2 linked regions of the Alligator mississippiensis genome follow. The protein of the gene in region 2 interacts with the protein of the main gene of each other region in a pairwise test. Links are inferred from orthologs where the notes say so. Each region holds a gene or a part of one and is shown on either strand. Other genes may lie near its edges.

What was found. The genes of interacting proteins can lie anywhere in the genome.
Region 1: the proteins of GABARAPL2 (region 2) and RETREG1 interact in binary tests that used the Homo sapiens proteins (3 or more experiments, as listed by UniProt). The link is inferred for Alligator mississippiensis from reciprocal best matches to the Homo sapiens genes GABARAPL2 and RETREG1.

What each region holds. Positions count from the first base shown.
Region 1 is NC_081828.1:100,661,495-100,668,658, reverse strand, and holds the start of RETREG1 (reticulophagy regulator 1), read left to right. Parts: upstream 1-4,146; 5' UTR 4,147-4,230; coding exon 4,231-4,430; intron 4,431-7,164. UniProt on the Homo sapiens protein: Endoplasmic reticulum (ER)-anchored autophagy regulator which mediates ER delivery into lysosomes through sequestration into autophagosomes.
Region 2 is NC_081833.1:77,754,659-77,762,670, forward strand, and holds the start of GABARAPL2 (gamma-aminobutyric acid receptor-associated protein-like 2), read right to left. Parts: upstream 3,019-8,012; 5' UTR 2,861-3,018; coding exon 2,827-2,860; intron 2,749-2,826; coding exon 2,693-2,748; intron 462-2,692; exon of another isoform or gene 1-461. Other genes in the region: TMEM231 (transmembrane protein 231), read left to right, coding at 3,384-3,525, 3,644-3,810, 4,120-4,248, 7,933-8,012. UniProt on the Homo sapiens protein: Ubiquitin-like modifier involved in intra-Golgi traffic. Modulates intra-Golgi transport through coupling between NSF activity and SNAREs activation. It first stimulates the ATPase activity of NSF which in turn stimulates the association with GOSR1.

The DNA of each region.
Region 1 (7,164 bases), on a different chromosome or scaffold from region 2:
ACTGGGGTGGGGGGCACCATTTGTAGGCGGCAGCATTGGTAGTGAGCAGCAAGCGGGGACTGCCTGCAGACGCCAGTGGCGGTGTTGGCGGCAGTGGGGGAGCAAGTGGGGACTGCCTGCAGACACTGGTGGGGAGCGAGGTGAGCAGCGACTGCCTGCAGAAGCCAGCGGCGGCAGCAGCCAATCTCATCGGGGGCACATGCCCCTCCCTGTGCTCCCCCTACACATCACCTACAGGCATGAGGGTGCTTCAGTGCAGGGGCTGCCTGCCACCTAGCCCTGCACTGGAGCATCCTTGTGCCCCAGCCAGCCCCTCAACAGCATGCTGAGCCACACTGAAGCAGCCCTGGGCTGGCAGGCTGACTCACAGCGCCCCCTACTAGCTGGGGCTGCTCCAACCTGGCACAATGTGCTTAGGTCCTGGGTGCACATGTAATCATGGCACCCAGGAGCAATAAACTGGTGCAATGTGTACCAGAGTTTATTGTGTCGCATTAGTTGCACATGTAAATGTGCCCATTATGCATAATATTAGTCCAAAGCCAAAAGACTCATGATTTACCACATAGCTCATTGGGCTGGGCCCCAGCAGAGTCAACAGCATTTTGAGCCATGGTGATCCTGTAGTTCAGCATTGTTCAGTAGGTTGTGCAGTGCTACATGTACAGTTAATGTGCCTCGATTTTCTGTGCAGAAAATTCAAGCTCGTTAAAGCGCTTCCAGGTGCACATCTACATGTGTGCCTGCATCGGGAGTAAATTGAGCCCGACAGGAGCTGCTCAGTCCAGGGCTGCTCCTGCCCTGCTCTGCCCCCGTGCAGCAACTGGGTGGAGCTCCACACACCCCAAGGTGCCAGCCCTAGGCTGGCAGGAGGCACAGGGGCTGGTCCGCATCTTCACTCAGCAGGGGAGAGCTGTCCCCATTGCTGGGCAGCTGCCTCCCAGCCACGTGGAGATCAGGTCGTGTCCCAATATCCATGTGGCTGGGAGACAGTTGCCCAGCAGCTGGGACAGCTCTCCCAGCCATGTGGAGATCTGGACAGGTCCCAATCTTCATGTGGCTGGGAGACAGAGTCCCGCCAAGCCAGGACAGCTCTTCCTACCCCCTGTGGCCCCCTGCTGCTTAAGCTGACTGGGAACAATTTGTTCCCAATCAGCATCTACACATGCACTTTGGCACATTAGTTTTAAACTAATCTACTTCACAGTAATTGCTGTGCACGTGTAGACAGTGATGCTTTACTGAACATTAGATTAGTCTAATGTGCAATGAAGCATCTTGCGTAGATGCACCCAGTGGGCACGTCTACATGTGCAAATAATCTAGGAGCAATTGACTCTGAAGTACTCTAGAGTAAACTCTCCTGGGCACATATTTACACATGCAGAGATGCGGGAGCAGATTTGCTGCTTCTAGCAGCAGACTGTTCCTGCTCTGTGCAGCCCTGAACCGGGCCCCTGCAGCAGCCAGAGGGAGCACTAGGCTCCCCCTGGGTGCAAGCCCAGGGGCTGGCAGGGAGCATGGGGCCAGCAGACGGACCTTGGAGCTGCCTGCTGCCAGGGTGGGCTCTGCTACCAGAGCCCAGGCAGGGACTATGTCCCCATGCCCTGGCAGGAGGGAGCTCCCAGCCTGGGCCTTGCGACTGCAGAGCTTGGGCTGGGAGATAAGGATCTCCTAGGCCCTGATCTCCGATCATGAAACACACGCTGGGAGTTCCTTGCTACTGGGGCAGGGGGACATAGTCCGCGCCTGGACTCGCCAGCAGCAGGCTGCTCCAGCGTGCAGGAAGCAATCTCCTGCCTCCTCTGCCCAGCTGAGAGAACATTTGCTCCTGGTCAGCAGTCTACATGTGCACTCCTGCACAGTAAGTAATCAAGAGTAAATTTGCTACTTGTATTTACATGTAGGACCTTAACTTGCCATTAGAGCAAATTACTGTGCAGTAAGCATCTGTATGTTTAGACAGTGATGCTTACTGCACAGTAATTAGCTCTCATCTTGAGTAAAATGTTTTGTGTAGATGTGCCCAGTATGTATCTGTACTCCAAATACCCACCACAAAGGATCTACATGCTAATTAGCTCCCCACTCATGACTAGAACCAAGTGTTCTTGTCACAAGTCCTGGGATCCTCCAAAAAATTATATGCAGATGAGCAGCAGTGCTGAGCTGTGGGGCCACCATCGCTTGAATTATTTTATTTTTAAAGAGAATTGTTCATGTTCCAAGCCAAATCAGCCAAATCAATTCCAAATCAGTGAGTCAGTCAAGAACCATAAGTGGGCCTACTACCAGCAAACATCCTCCACCCCATCTAGAGCTTCAGATGTTTCCAAATCCTTTAGCAGGCATCCTACGTGCAGGCCCAAGCCCAGAGGCTTGGGGTTTGGATGCCCCCAAGTTTTGCTTGTCCGCAGCCATATGGCTGCAGGAGCAACCTAGGTAAGGGTCTCCCATTTCCATTGCCTTGAAATGCTGTTGACTTTGCTGGGGCCCAGTTTAATGAACCTGGTCTGACTGCACTTCATCGAGGGCAGGGCCGTTCTAATATGTGACAGGCTGAGGGAAAGTGAAACTCAGGGGCATCCAAACCCCAAGCCACCAGGCTTGGGCTTGCACACAGGATGCCTGCCTTAGGCTGGGGTGGAGGATACTTGCTGGTAACAGAGCCACATATGGTTCTTGAATGATTCAAATGGACTTGGACCTGATCTGGCTAATTTGACCTGGAACATGAAAAATTCTCCTTAAAAAAAAAAAAAAAAAAAAAAAAGTGACAGGCTGAAAAAGTGGGGAGATAGGGATTCTGCGTGAACTGTTTGGGGCCCCTTTGGTGATGTTTGCCAGACATTTAAGGCTGGTGAAGAAACAGGAGTCACTGGAAATGGAAAGGAAAGGGGCAGCTCAGCTGTGGGAGTGAAGAGGAAGTTGGCATTGAGGAGGACTGAGTGCAATAGGCACTACCATATATCTTGTTCAGAGAGATTGCAGTAACCTATCTTTGGTAAGACCTTTTGGCTAAGATCAAGTGTGGTAGGTATCCATCAGTCTGTCTGCCCAAAATGCGCCATGTCTTTTACAGCTGTGCTCAGCATGGACTGCATTAATCAATTTCATAGCTGGTTTCCATTTCTGAGCACATGCTGCTTTTGGCAGCAGTCTAAGGATACACAGTATATTTAAGGACGTATTCTTGAATTCAGTAAGATGCAAAAACTCATCCTAGTTGGGATGGAAAGCTTGATGAGGAATATCTTGTGTTCAAAATCTTGTCTCACTCCGTCCTAGCCATGCAGTTGGTCCAATAAAAGAAATGGCTGTAAGAAATCCTTGGCCCTAGGAAATCCTTGCCTTTTGCGTCCTGCTGCAACAATCATGACTACAGCACAACTCTAACACTAGTAGGGAAGAGTGAAAGATTGGGGAAAGGATGAGGGAAGTGAATGAGCAGAAAGAAGGGAGAAGCCAGCAGGGAGCTGAAGAAGGGCCAGGGCAAGCTAGGCCAAAGGGAGGAGAGAAGCCACTTTGCTTTTTGTCATTTTTTCTTGAAGCCAGCCAGGCTGTCTTACAGCCCAGTCTGTGACTGCCCAGAAGTTACCCTGTTCCCTGGGGGTGGGCAGTTGTGCTGGGAGAACAGTGACAACACCCTGCAGTTCCGGGCAGTCTCCACTCTCCATTCCTGCACCCTGCAACACAGGCTTGTGCGCCAGCTGGACACTGAGGAGGCCAAACGCCCTCAAGCCCAAGCAGTCAGCCCTTGCCTTCTCTTTCAATCCTTATCATTATTATTAACGATCCCTATTATTCACTCTGAGTAATTAGCATACTTAATGACTAATTATCATCATTACTAGCTACAAGGAAGGGCTACCTTGGCAGCACGGGCCATTCCCAGCCCGGCCTCCTGGTCTGGGCCAACCACAGCCACCAGCGGATCGGCCCCAACCCTGCCTGCACCGCTCAACAGCCCCATCGCTGCATCTGTCTCTCACGCGCGCTCCCTGTTCACTCACTCGCCCCGCCTCTCCCATTGCATCGAGGCACCTGCCCGCTGCGCAGGCGCATTCTCCCCCTCCTTGGCCATGCCTGCCCTTTGCGCAAGCGCATTCGGTCCCCTCTTGGTGCTACTTATTCCCGCGCGCAGGCGTAGTTGCAGTCACTGATCTCGGTGGCACCTGCTCGGGCTGCACCGTGACGTACCGGGGGGGGCGCAGCCCAGGCCGCGCAGCTATGGCGAGCGTTGTCGCCGCAAAGCAGCAGCCTCCAGCGCGGGACCAGCGGGCACCCGGCGGGGCAGCTACCGCCGCCGCCGTGTCGGCGCTGCTGGGAGATACGGGGCTGGCGCTGGGCGGCTGCGTGGCGGCGGCTCTGAGCTGGGAGCGGCCTCTGCGCAGCCTGGGCGGCTTCGTCTGCGCCAATCTGCTCTTCTGGTGAGACGCGGTGGGGAGCGGGGGTATTGTACTGGGAGTTCAAAGTTATGGTATTTGCTGAAAAACTATCATGTACTGAAAAATATGCAAATACGCATGTAAATACATCTTCTTATTTACTTTCTATCGCTCATGACCTGGGCCATCGAAGTGGAATCATATTTTTATTTTGAGGTGAACAGTTAAGGAAGTGTTGCCAGCAAGCCCCAAAGTCAGTTAAGGCTCCCTGAGAGTGTCTTGGGTTTTGCGTAGGCTGCATCAATGAGCTGCCGCAAAAATGATCCTGTATTTTGAATGCTTTTACAGCTTTTGATCATACTTCGTACAAGGCTTGAAATGATGTGACAGATATGATAATTATTGTATGCCCAGCAGCACTAGTGTGGGTTGCCCCCAGCCACATGTTTCCACCACTCATAAGGGGGAGTCTTACTTTTCAGTCTGTCCAGTTCATCCCTATTAGCTGTGTGAGGGTTGGCACTGAGAAAGGACTTGGAAACCAGATTTAAAGAACTGGGAATAAGGGACTTATTTCAGCCTCATCCCAGCCACAGAGGTCCTGGCTGTGCGGACCCTTGCCCTTGCACCTCTTCTTCTAGGTGCTCCCAGTCCTGGGACCTCCTGGTCGTGTTCTCCTGGCCCTGGCCGAACTGGCCATGTCTCTGACCAGGAAAGAGACTCTGGCCAGAGCTGCTTTCCTTACCCTTGTTCATTCCCGTCTCTGGGCAGAATATCACTGGGCAGTGTCTATTGGCTCCTCAGACTCGTTTGAGGGCCAGTGGGCATTGTCTGATGTGCTCTGCTCAGTGTCTCTCCTTGTTCGTAACCTTTGACCAGCACCCCCGTCCTTGGTTTGTTTGTTTTTTATTATTTGGCCCCAGTGATCAGTTGTCTCCTCTTCTGTAGCCTCCCCATCTGAGGGAAGCCGATAGGCTACTTATAAGGCTTAAGTCCATGTCCCTGAAGCTGGCAACCATCCTGGTCAACCTCCTCCTGGCCCTAGCTAAGCTGGTTGTCTACCTGGCTGCAACTGGCTGGGGTGCTCCCGGGACTGTGAGGCGTCTTCCAGTCTTCATCCTGTTGTATGGTGGAGGTGCCACACATTCAATTCAAGATGCGATGGAAACCAGTAGCAAAATAATATGCATTTTGTGTAATGTTTTTGTGGCTGACTTCCCATTTTGTGATGCGAGGTGTCTTCCAGTCTTTCATCCATTCACGTCTTCAGGCACAGTTTCACAGCTTTCCTGGAGCTGTTTGAGGGGCAGTGGTAGCCAGCCAGTGGGCTCTGCTGGGAAGGGGGCAGGGAAGATGTCTGGGGGGGTGCATGCCATTCTTTGGAGCACTTGCTATGAATATTTGACCTCTGCTACCATCCCTGTTGTCACTTCTGTTGTCCCCCTGGCCTCTGCTGTTGTGTTTCCAGTGGCCACCCTGACTCAGGCAGGCTTGCTGTTTTCTTCATGGGCCCAGCCCAGCACTGCTCAACCCCACAGGTAGGTCCTTTGGTGCTGCCTGTGCTCTCTTCAGTCTGGGGCAGCTTAACCTTTACAGTGGGCAGCTTGTTTAGGGACACAGGGATTTGGGGATTCACAGCAGAAAAATGGCCACATCTCAGATTCGTACCCATGGGAAATACTTGTGAGTTGTTTGGGGTTTTTTTGTGTTTTGCTGGCAAATACCTGTTGTTCTTTAAACACCAGTCATTCCTTTTCATGGAAGTCCCACTCGCCCATTGCCTGATGGTGTAACTTCTTCTGTGTATCTAATTGCTTCTAGACCGTGAGGTATGTGCATGTGTTCTTGGGGCTTTCTCATTTAATACAACTGAGACTGGGGAATTAATTGTTTTTCCTCTTGTGATGCTAGGATTGCCTTTTTTTTCCTTCCCAGTCAATAGAAAAGACAAAACAAGCAAACAGGAGAACTCCATTTTGTCCTCTAGAACCTTGGCAACACTCCTCTCTTTAAATAAGATGAGGTGTAGGTCGGACAGAAAGAATGTCTCGGTGTTAAGCATCTCATTGCCCAGAAAAATAGCATTGTTGAAGCTTATCAAAAACTCCTTGCTGTAAGTGCTGTTCCAGGCAGGTCCTTCATGTTGAGGAAAAGTACACATTTAGGCTGTCACTTTCTAGATACCTTAGAGACTTGTGAATTTCTTGAGACAGTAACTGGAAGGGCCCTAATGCCTAATGATGCACTTTAACAGAAGTACGTAATAAAATGGATATGTACACAGCCTAGCATATCTGCCTGTCTGTAAACGATTAGATACACAGAAGAACAGTTACACCATCAGGCAATGGGTGAGGGGGGCTTCCATGAAAAAGAGTGACTGGTGTTCAAAGAACAACAGATATTTGCCAGCAAAACACAAAAAACCCGCAAGCATTTCCTATGGGTACAGCCCTACGTGTATGTGCACTGTTACCTATATATGTGAATTTTGTTCCACGTTCCAGACAGAGGTGTTTATGCTTGTTTAGTCTGCATGTCTGACATTCGGTTGCCTAACTAAAGGCCCTGGCAGACATTACAAGCAAGATGCAATTAACATGTTACTCATGTCTTAAGTTATAACCTGGCCACACATTCAGACCACACAATGGTGCAACAAAATGGGAAACAAGCCATACATCCTTCAAGCCCCCAGGGTACCTTCCCAGCTTTCCCCACTTAGAGAGGTACCCCAGGGAATCTTGGAGTGCCTCCTTATAAGCAGGAAAGTTGG
Region 2 (8,012 bases):
ACAGAGTGGAGTAATCAGAGAAAGTTGATTAAAATTGTCCATTTAGATCACCAAGCTGGAAACCTTGATTTAAAAAAACCAAACAAAAAAGAGTTTGACTCTTGTTTTGCAACTCTAAACTCCAGTTTGGGGGGTCCCCAAAGATTCACCCCCTAAAGGTCATCTCAAAGAAGCAGTGCTGGCTGGTGTGCCACATCTGGCTCTCAGGCCCTACATGGGAATGATTCTTGAGGCTGGAAAGCCTCACAGTACGTTAACTGCAACTGAGTATGCCCTTTATCAAACTCTATTTGGATGGGAATTGGAATGCCAATAAGTGTATAAAAAATAAAATTATTTTTGAGTTAAAAATTTTAAATGTACTGGCTATCCAAAAATAGCATGCATCAAGCAACGCTTTCTTTTAAAACAAATGTATTGTACAAATAAATGAATAAACTTTCTGGAGCTCATGAACTGAACTGAGTGTTTCTGGTCACCATGGCTTTAGAATTTTAGAACTAGTAGATCTTATCTTTTCATATGTCACTTATTTATAGATTGGAAGAAGAAAACAAACTTTACTTCTTTTTCAAGTACTATTTTTTTATAAATTGAACGTGCCAGTCATTGCACTTAACTAGTTGAATAAGCTGAAATGAAGAAAATAGCTTCCCCGAATCTACAGGAAAAACTACTGCTGTCAGGACTGTTAGTACTTCATAATATCTGGTTGCAGGTGGTTACTCCAGTGGTTTGATTTATTAAAAATGTTGGCAGTAAATACACACTCCCACATATCAACTCTTAAGTGTGAGGGTGTGGGTGTGGTGGGGGGAGGGGGGGGGGGGAGAGAAGAATGAGTTTGTTATAAAACTAGGCCTTAAAATAGGTTGTCAGACTTTTAGCAGATCTATTTAAAAATCAGTTCAAATAAATTTCTCATTTAAAATTTAAAAATTAAGTTACAATAAAATCTATTTATTGTTTTTATTCCTAGTGATACAAAGTGGTACTTGGAAAGGCTCTTCTTGAAAAAAGGCTGATTTCTTTAGTTACAACAGGTCTCTCTGGAGTAGGAGTAGGCCCACTGTACAAACACCATCTCACTTGGAGACATCTGGGACACCTGCTGCTCGGGCTTGTTCTAGCCACATCTTCAGAGCAGAACCTCACAGCTGTCCTGCAGTGTCTTATTCCTTACAAAACAAAGTTCAGGACAGTGTCACAGAGACCTTCCAGCCTTATAAGTCATAGGGGAAGCCATTCTTACTTGGATTTACAACCAAAGACAAACCTACGTGGTCTGGCAATCCTGCACCTCAGTCCCCAGAGAGGTACGACACTATCCCTTGTGACAAGGAAGCAGGGATTCAGCTTAATGCACAACTTCAAGCTACGGATATATCTGCAAGGCACAATGTCACGCTGTGCAGATACCAAGCTAGCTGTGGATGAGTAAGGTCAGGTACCAGCATATAGCCACATTTTGCAGGACACACCACATGAGCTTATTAGCCACGTTGAGAACAGCCACGCAGATGTACCTTCCACTGCTGGGACAGATTCCTGAACTGCAGACATGAATGCAGGAGAATGGAAGCGAGAGAGGAGGATACCTGCTCACTGAAAGTCGGCTGGGATCAGGCTAGGATGACTCACTGAAGATAGTTATGATTTATTTGGTTAAATTGGTACTGTCAAGTTATGGCAGCTGCACCCATCAGGAAAATAATCCCTGTTAAAAGCACTGTGGAGCGAACCCCACCGTGGCTACCATCAAGGGGTTTAAAAAACCTGTGTGGAATTGAGACCCACGTGTCCTCAGTTCCCATCCAGCGCTCTCTTCCCTGCACCCGTCTCACAGCACCGAGCCAAGGGCTCGTTTTACAAGCACAGAGAAGGCCTAAAAGACAAACCTGAGGCCTACGAGAAACAAGCAGCATGTCACTGCTGCTCCCTGAGAGGGACTCTGCGTGTGAGATTCGGGACCGCATCTAGACATCTGAACTCCCACTGATGCTACCCAACACAACTGCACCCGTCAGTGCACCTCGGTCGCGATTCCCTCCATCCACTCACACAAGCGTCCACTCCACAGGAGGTGGCAGGGTATTGTTAGCCTCATCTCAGATGTTTTCTTTTCACACAGGTTCCTTACTAGAAGCTGGTAACCGGCTAGGATTGAACCTTGATTAGACAGCCAGGGAAAGTGACACCTATCGAAACGTGTTGATCATCAGCAAAAGCTGGTCCGCGGGCTAGGGACCGCACCCCAGGAGGCAATGAAAGGGGGGCGCCGAGTTCGAGGGGGTAGGAGGCAGGGGAGATGGAGACAGGCACGTCTTGCCAGAGCAGCCGGAGGAGATGCTGCTGCCAGGCCGGGGGGAGGCGAGGAATGGGGCTCAGCTCCCAACAGGGGGGAGCCACGGGGGGGCGGGTCCCCGACTGCTCCAGAGCTGCCGGGTCATACCCGAGGAAGGCCGCGGAGGGGCCCGTGGTGGGCGGCAGTCAGACGGGCAAGCGGATGCGCTCCCTCACGGCGCGGGGGCTGCGCTGCCCGGCGCGAGGCGGGGGCACAGGATGCAGCCGGAGGGGCCGGGCCGGGCCGGGCCGGGCCGGGCGGGCGGGATGCGGAGGGCGGAGCCCCGCGACGCGGTGTCCGAGCGGGGCGGGGCGGGGGAAGGCCGGGCCGAGGGCCGCGCTCACTTACCGGGACGCGGTCTGGGTACTTGGCCCGGATCTTCGCCGACTCGACGCATCGGTGCTCTGCGAACAACGCGCGGATTAGTGCGGGGCCGGGCGGCCGGGGGGGCCTCCCGGGGGGCGCGGGGTGTCCGGCCTTACCCAGCGCGTGGTCCTCCTTGAACATCCACTTCATGGCGGCGCGGGGCCAGGCTCTGCCGGGGTCGGAGCCGGGGTCGCGGCGGCCCGGGGGCGCTGCCGGGGCTGCTCCGGGGGCGGCCGGGCCTGTCGCTGTCACAACAACAACAGCTCGGCGGGCGGGACTTCCGGCCCCCCCGTTGCCCAGCAACCAGAATAGGTTGCGGAGCTTCCGGCCCACGGTGACCGAGCAACGAGGAGGGGGCGGGGTCGCGACATCCGGGACCGGTGACGCGAGGCGGAGCCAAGCCGCGCCCCGCGGCCACGTGATCCACTTGCTAGTCCCCGCCCCCGGCGTCTGCTGTGGTGACGTTTACTAGTGGACGGTGCCGGTACTGGGCTGACACTGACTGGGCGGGGGGCGGGACTCGGGCGTCCTCAGCTTCAGGCGCTGATTCGCTGCTGGACGTAGGCGCGTTATTATTGGCCGCCGCGCACTGGCCCCGCCCAGCCGGAGCCACGCGCGGATTGGCTCGGTTAGGTCCCCGCGCGCCGGCCGCGGTTGCTATGGCGACGCAGCCATGGGCCGCGTGGAGCTGTTCTCGGAGCCCGCGCAGCGCACGCGGTACCGCGCCGGGCTCTGCTCCGCCGCCGCCCTGGGCCTCGCGCTGCTGGGCGCGCTCACCTACGTGCCGCCGCTGCTCGTGGCCTACCGCAGCCACGGTCCGCGGCCGGGCGGGGCTAGGGTCCGGGTCCGGGGGCCGGGGTGGGGCTGGGTGGTGGGACTGGGCGGGGCGGGGTGGGGTGCCCGCGGCTGCCGGCTGACGGCGCGTCCCCGCAGGACTGTGGCGCACGCAGGCCGCGTACCGCGAGCAGCCGGCCGTCCGCTTCCGCTACGAGGCGCTGCTGCTGGCCACGACGGCGGCGCCAGGCGGCGGCCTGGCCTGGAGCACGTTCCCCGCCTTCAACCGCCTACAGGGAGAGCGCCTGCGCGTCCCGCTCGTCGCGGTGCGTGTGGCGGCGCCGGCCGGGGCCGGGGTGTGCCCGGTTCCCCCGTCCGCTGTCGCCGCAGCCCGGCCAGGCCCCTGGGGTCAGGCTGGGCGCAGGCTGTCACCTGCCGCGGGTGGGAGGTGGCTGCAAGCGCTGCTCTGGGCACAGCCCGCGGGCCTGGCTCGGCTCCAGCCCCTTCCTGCAGGCCGGGGCCATGCATGCTCTTCCCCCTTGGAAATCCTTCCTAGTGTCGAGGGTCTGCCGCTGGGACCGTGCTGGCACCAGCACCAAGGCCAGAGCGTCATTAGGGTTCCTTGTTACTTGCAGACTAGAGAAGAAGATAAGAATCAAGATGGCAAGATGGACCGGTTGCATTTTAAACTGGAGCTTCCTTTGAAGCCAGAGGAGCAAGTGCTTGGCGTGCAGCTCATTCTGACTTTCTCCTACCAACTGCACGTGAGTCCCCGTCTGCCTGTAGTGCTCCTCGGTGCAGAGCCAGCGCCGGCTTCCCAGTAGCAATGATATCAATCAGCGGTTCTCAGCGTTTTTGTACAGGACCCATTTGTGAACATCGATGGCCAGTCCCGACCCAGTTGTGGGGCAGCCGCGGTTTCCCACGTTTTTTTCCTTTTAAAGGAGAATCCATTTTTAAAGCTTGTTCATTACCCTTTCATATATTCTTGTGACCCACTTTTGGTCACACATGTGACCCATGGGTTGAGGAACACTGATCTAAAGTGATAATAACAGAAAAGAGAAGTGATTGCAATACTCTAGTAGGTGAGACTTATGTTACGACTTATTTTTAGAACAGTGAATTTTCATTCTAATTCGCTTTTCCATTTGTACTCCTTTAATGTAAGGCTGTGGTTCTCGACCTTTTTGGAGTCAAGGCACTCCATGTTAGATTCAAAGCAACTTTCAGAAAGTGCCAGCTTTGAATTTCTAGTCATTTTTTGCCTATAGACAGAGCAGTTTTTCTTTTGCAAAGAACTTGGGCCACAACAGGTCAGAACGCTTTTAACACTCTGGATTCCTATTTGAAATCTTTGGGCTTAGCTTGTCAATTGTGTTTGCATGCCTAACAGCGATAACACTGTGTGGCAACCCATGGCACTCGTGAAAGGATCGTGACACCCAGATTGAGAATTACTGATATAAGGGAAGGTACATTTCCATTGGTTGATGAAACTGTCCAAACATGTAGGTTTACACTAGGTTTGCTATATCATTTTGCTACCAAGGAGGGTCCTTTAACACGTGTATAGTCACATCATAATGTTCTGTGATGTGTGGCATCATAAATATTTAATAATTTGAGAAAGGAGCCAATCAGAGCTTGGAGAAGGGCAAGCTGTAAAGTAAGAGTATTGGCCTCAGTGAAGGACTTGGATGATTCCTGAAGTTGTGTCTTAGAGCTTGAGCCCAGGTCAAACGCTTGTGATGGCATTACCAATTACTTGCATCCTCAACATAGCATGTAATCTGTTCTGCCATATTTATGAAGCTTGACCTCAGAAAGTGAGATGTTTTCCCTGGTTTCTGCTTTGTCTAGGAAAAGCGTACAGCTTACGTCTTGCAGATTGTAAAAATTCTTGCTGGAGGCTCATGAATTCAATGCATCTTTTTTAAATAGCTTTTAAGAGATTAAAATTTTAAGTAGGGCTGTCAATTATTAGGGAAGGGACGGGGCAACAAATCAAGGCCCCATGGTGAGGGACGGATTGGAGCAGAGGCTGGGGTGAATGAGGCCCCGGGGCCAGGGTGGGTTGTGGGACGGAGTCATAGGTGGCTTGTTCAGGGGCATGGGGGTGGTGCGATTCCCCGCTGCTGTGTGCTCCCCTGTGGGGAGCATGGGGTGCATGTGCCCCCCAGATTTGTGTATGGGGCAGAAATGGGCTGCAGGCTGGGGCTCTGTTCCCCCCTGCCTTTGCCCTGGGAACTGCACGCTGGCTGTGCCGCATGTCCCTTGCCCACCTGTGGTGGGAGGCACAACATAGTGTCACATGGCTCCTGGGCCAAAGGCAGCAGGCACAGAGCGTCAGCTTACAGTGGGCAGCCTGCCTCTGCCCTGTGCATAAATCTGGGGGACACATGCCTCCCCCACAGGTGTGCACAGCAGCAGGGAGCTCCATCCCTCGTACTTTATGTCCCTGGACAAGCCTCCCACAGCTCTGTCCCATGATGCGCCCTGGCCCTGGGGCCACATTCGCCCCAGCTCCTTCCCCACTCCCTCCCTCACTGTGGGGGCCTCAGTCTGCCCCTCCTGCCCCTTCCCTCTCCCCGTGGCCCCTCCCCTCCAGATTTACTTGCTGGGTGCTGCTCTACACACTGCTGAGTTGCATTCCTGTAGGGTTACCACACTTTGTTTAAAAAAAGAGGGCATTGGTGGGGAGGCAGGTGGTAATATGATTAGTGGGGTGGGGGCAGTGATATGCCCGTGCCCTACCTCTGCCCCTCACTCCCAAGCCACAGCCCTCCCCCCCAGCCCTGCTGCTGTCCCTTACTCCTGACCCACAGTACCTCACATCTGCCAGGGTGTTCGGGGCTGCCCACCCCCGAGGCTCTAAACCCCACACACACACCCCCAGCACCCCACACCTTCACAAATCCCCCCCTCTAACCATACAAAGTACCTGCATAATTTTGAGTTTCTCTGTGCATAATTTTGAGTTTTTAGCAGTGTGATTAAAATCATAATTAATTGCGACTAATTTTTTAGTGCAATTATATTTTTTTGATTGTTTGACAGCCCTAATTTTAAGTATTAACATAAGTTGTATTATGTTCAGAATTTACTTTATGTTCATTTGTTAAAAAAACATAACTTTGTATAGCAAAAATAATTTAAAAAAAATTGATTGTTAATATATATATAGATAGATAGATACACACACATATATCAGCTCTAGTTTTTATTAATCAGTGATTATTTTTCCTTCCTCTCTTTTTTTTCCCCTTCCCAAAAGGACACTAGCTTTGGTTTCCCCTAAGTGAGTTCTGTGGCTCTCTGTAAAATTGGTAATAGCTGTTAGGAATCTTCTGGAACCCCCAGGGGCAATAGGGCTGCACAGGGGACACTGAGAGTACACAGCAGCAAATCAAGTGATCCCTGTGCAACTGACACCAAGAATACAACACAACCTAAGAAAGGGGTGATTATGTTGTTAGAAGCCCCTTATCTTCTTGCCACACTTAGTGGTATGGCAGCTTCTGAACATAAATGGCAAACCATTGCAGAAGCCTGGAACCTCCACAGACCTATTTTTTTGCAATTCTTTCATTTGCTCTTAGATTTTAGAGTCAAGGGGCTATTTTGAGCTGCCTTGACCCATTAAACCAAGGGTGTCACAGGCCAGTATAAATGGAACCCTACATTTCCTCAGATGGCGATGTAGATTTAGCAACTTCTTGCAACTAATCCATGAATAAGTGGATTATTGCTGGCTGCACCTAGTGCAGCGAGGATCAGGAGGTGTGGGGCATTATAGCATTGTAACGTGTTGGACATGAGACAGTATAATACCAGCCTGTGGTAGGGAAAGGCTGGGGTGGGCTTGATACCACCATATTGCTAACTGCAGAGTGACTGGGGTAAGGAAGTGTAGTTAGGCAGTGGGAGGAGTACTTTTCATTCAGTTTCCTAGGCTCAAGGGGCTACGTAGAGGTAAGATTTCCTGGCAACCTTAACTCTGTTCAATGGGAAAAGTGTGGGCAATAATTGGTACCATGTGGGAGGGTCTGACATTCCTCATGCTTGGCTGGTTGTGTCCACAAATATAAGAAGTAGATTTCATGGCCTAAATGAGCCAGCTAGCTGGATGGTTTGCCGTGTCAGAACTGGTCAGGTATTTGCTTTTGTCATCTACTGCGGAGCATCATATTCTCAAACTAGACTTGCACAATTTGGTGGGTTTTATTCTAGAGCTTGTGTAAGGAGCAGTGGAAGTCATTTACTTATAATAACCAAATAAGCGCTATTTTATGAATGTGCTCATGTCTATAATTATCTGACGTTAAAAATAGAAAATATCTCCTTCCTCTCCCTCTACCCCGAAGAAATTTAACAGAATTATAAGGATAGAAAATGTGTATATATTTTTTTCTAAATTCTGTTCTCTCTCCTGTTTTTTGTTTCAGAGGATGTCAACATTTGTGATGCAGAGCATGGCTTTTCTGCAGTCTTTCTCTCCAATTCCAGGGTCCCAGCTCTACGTGAA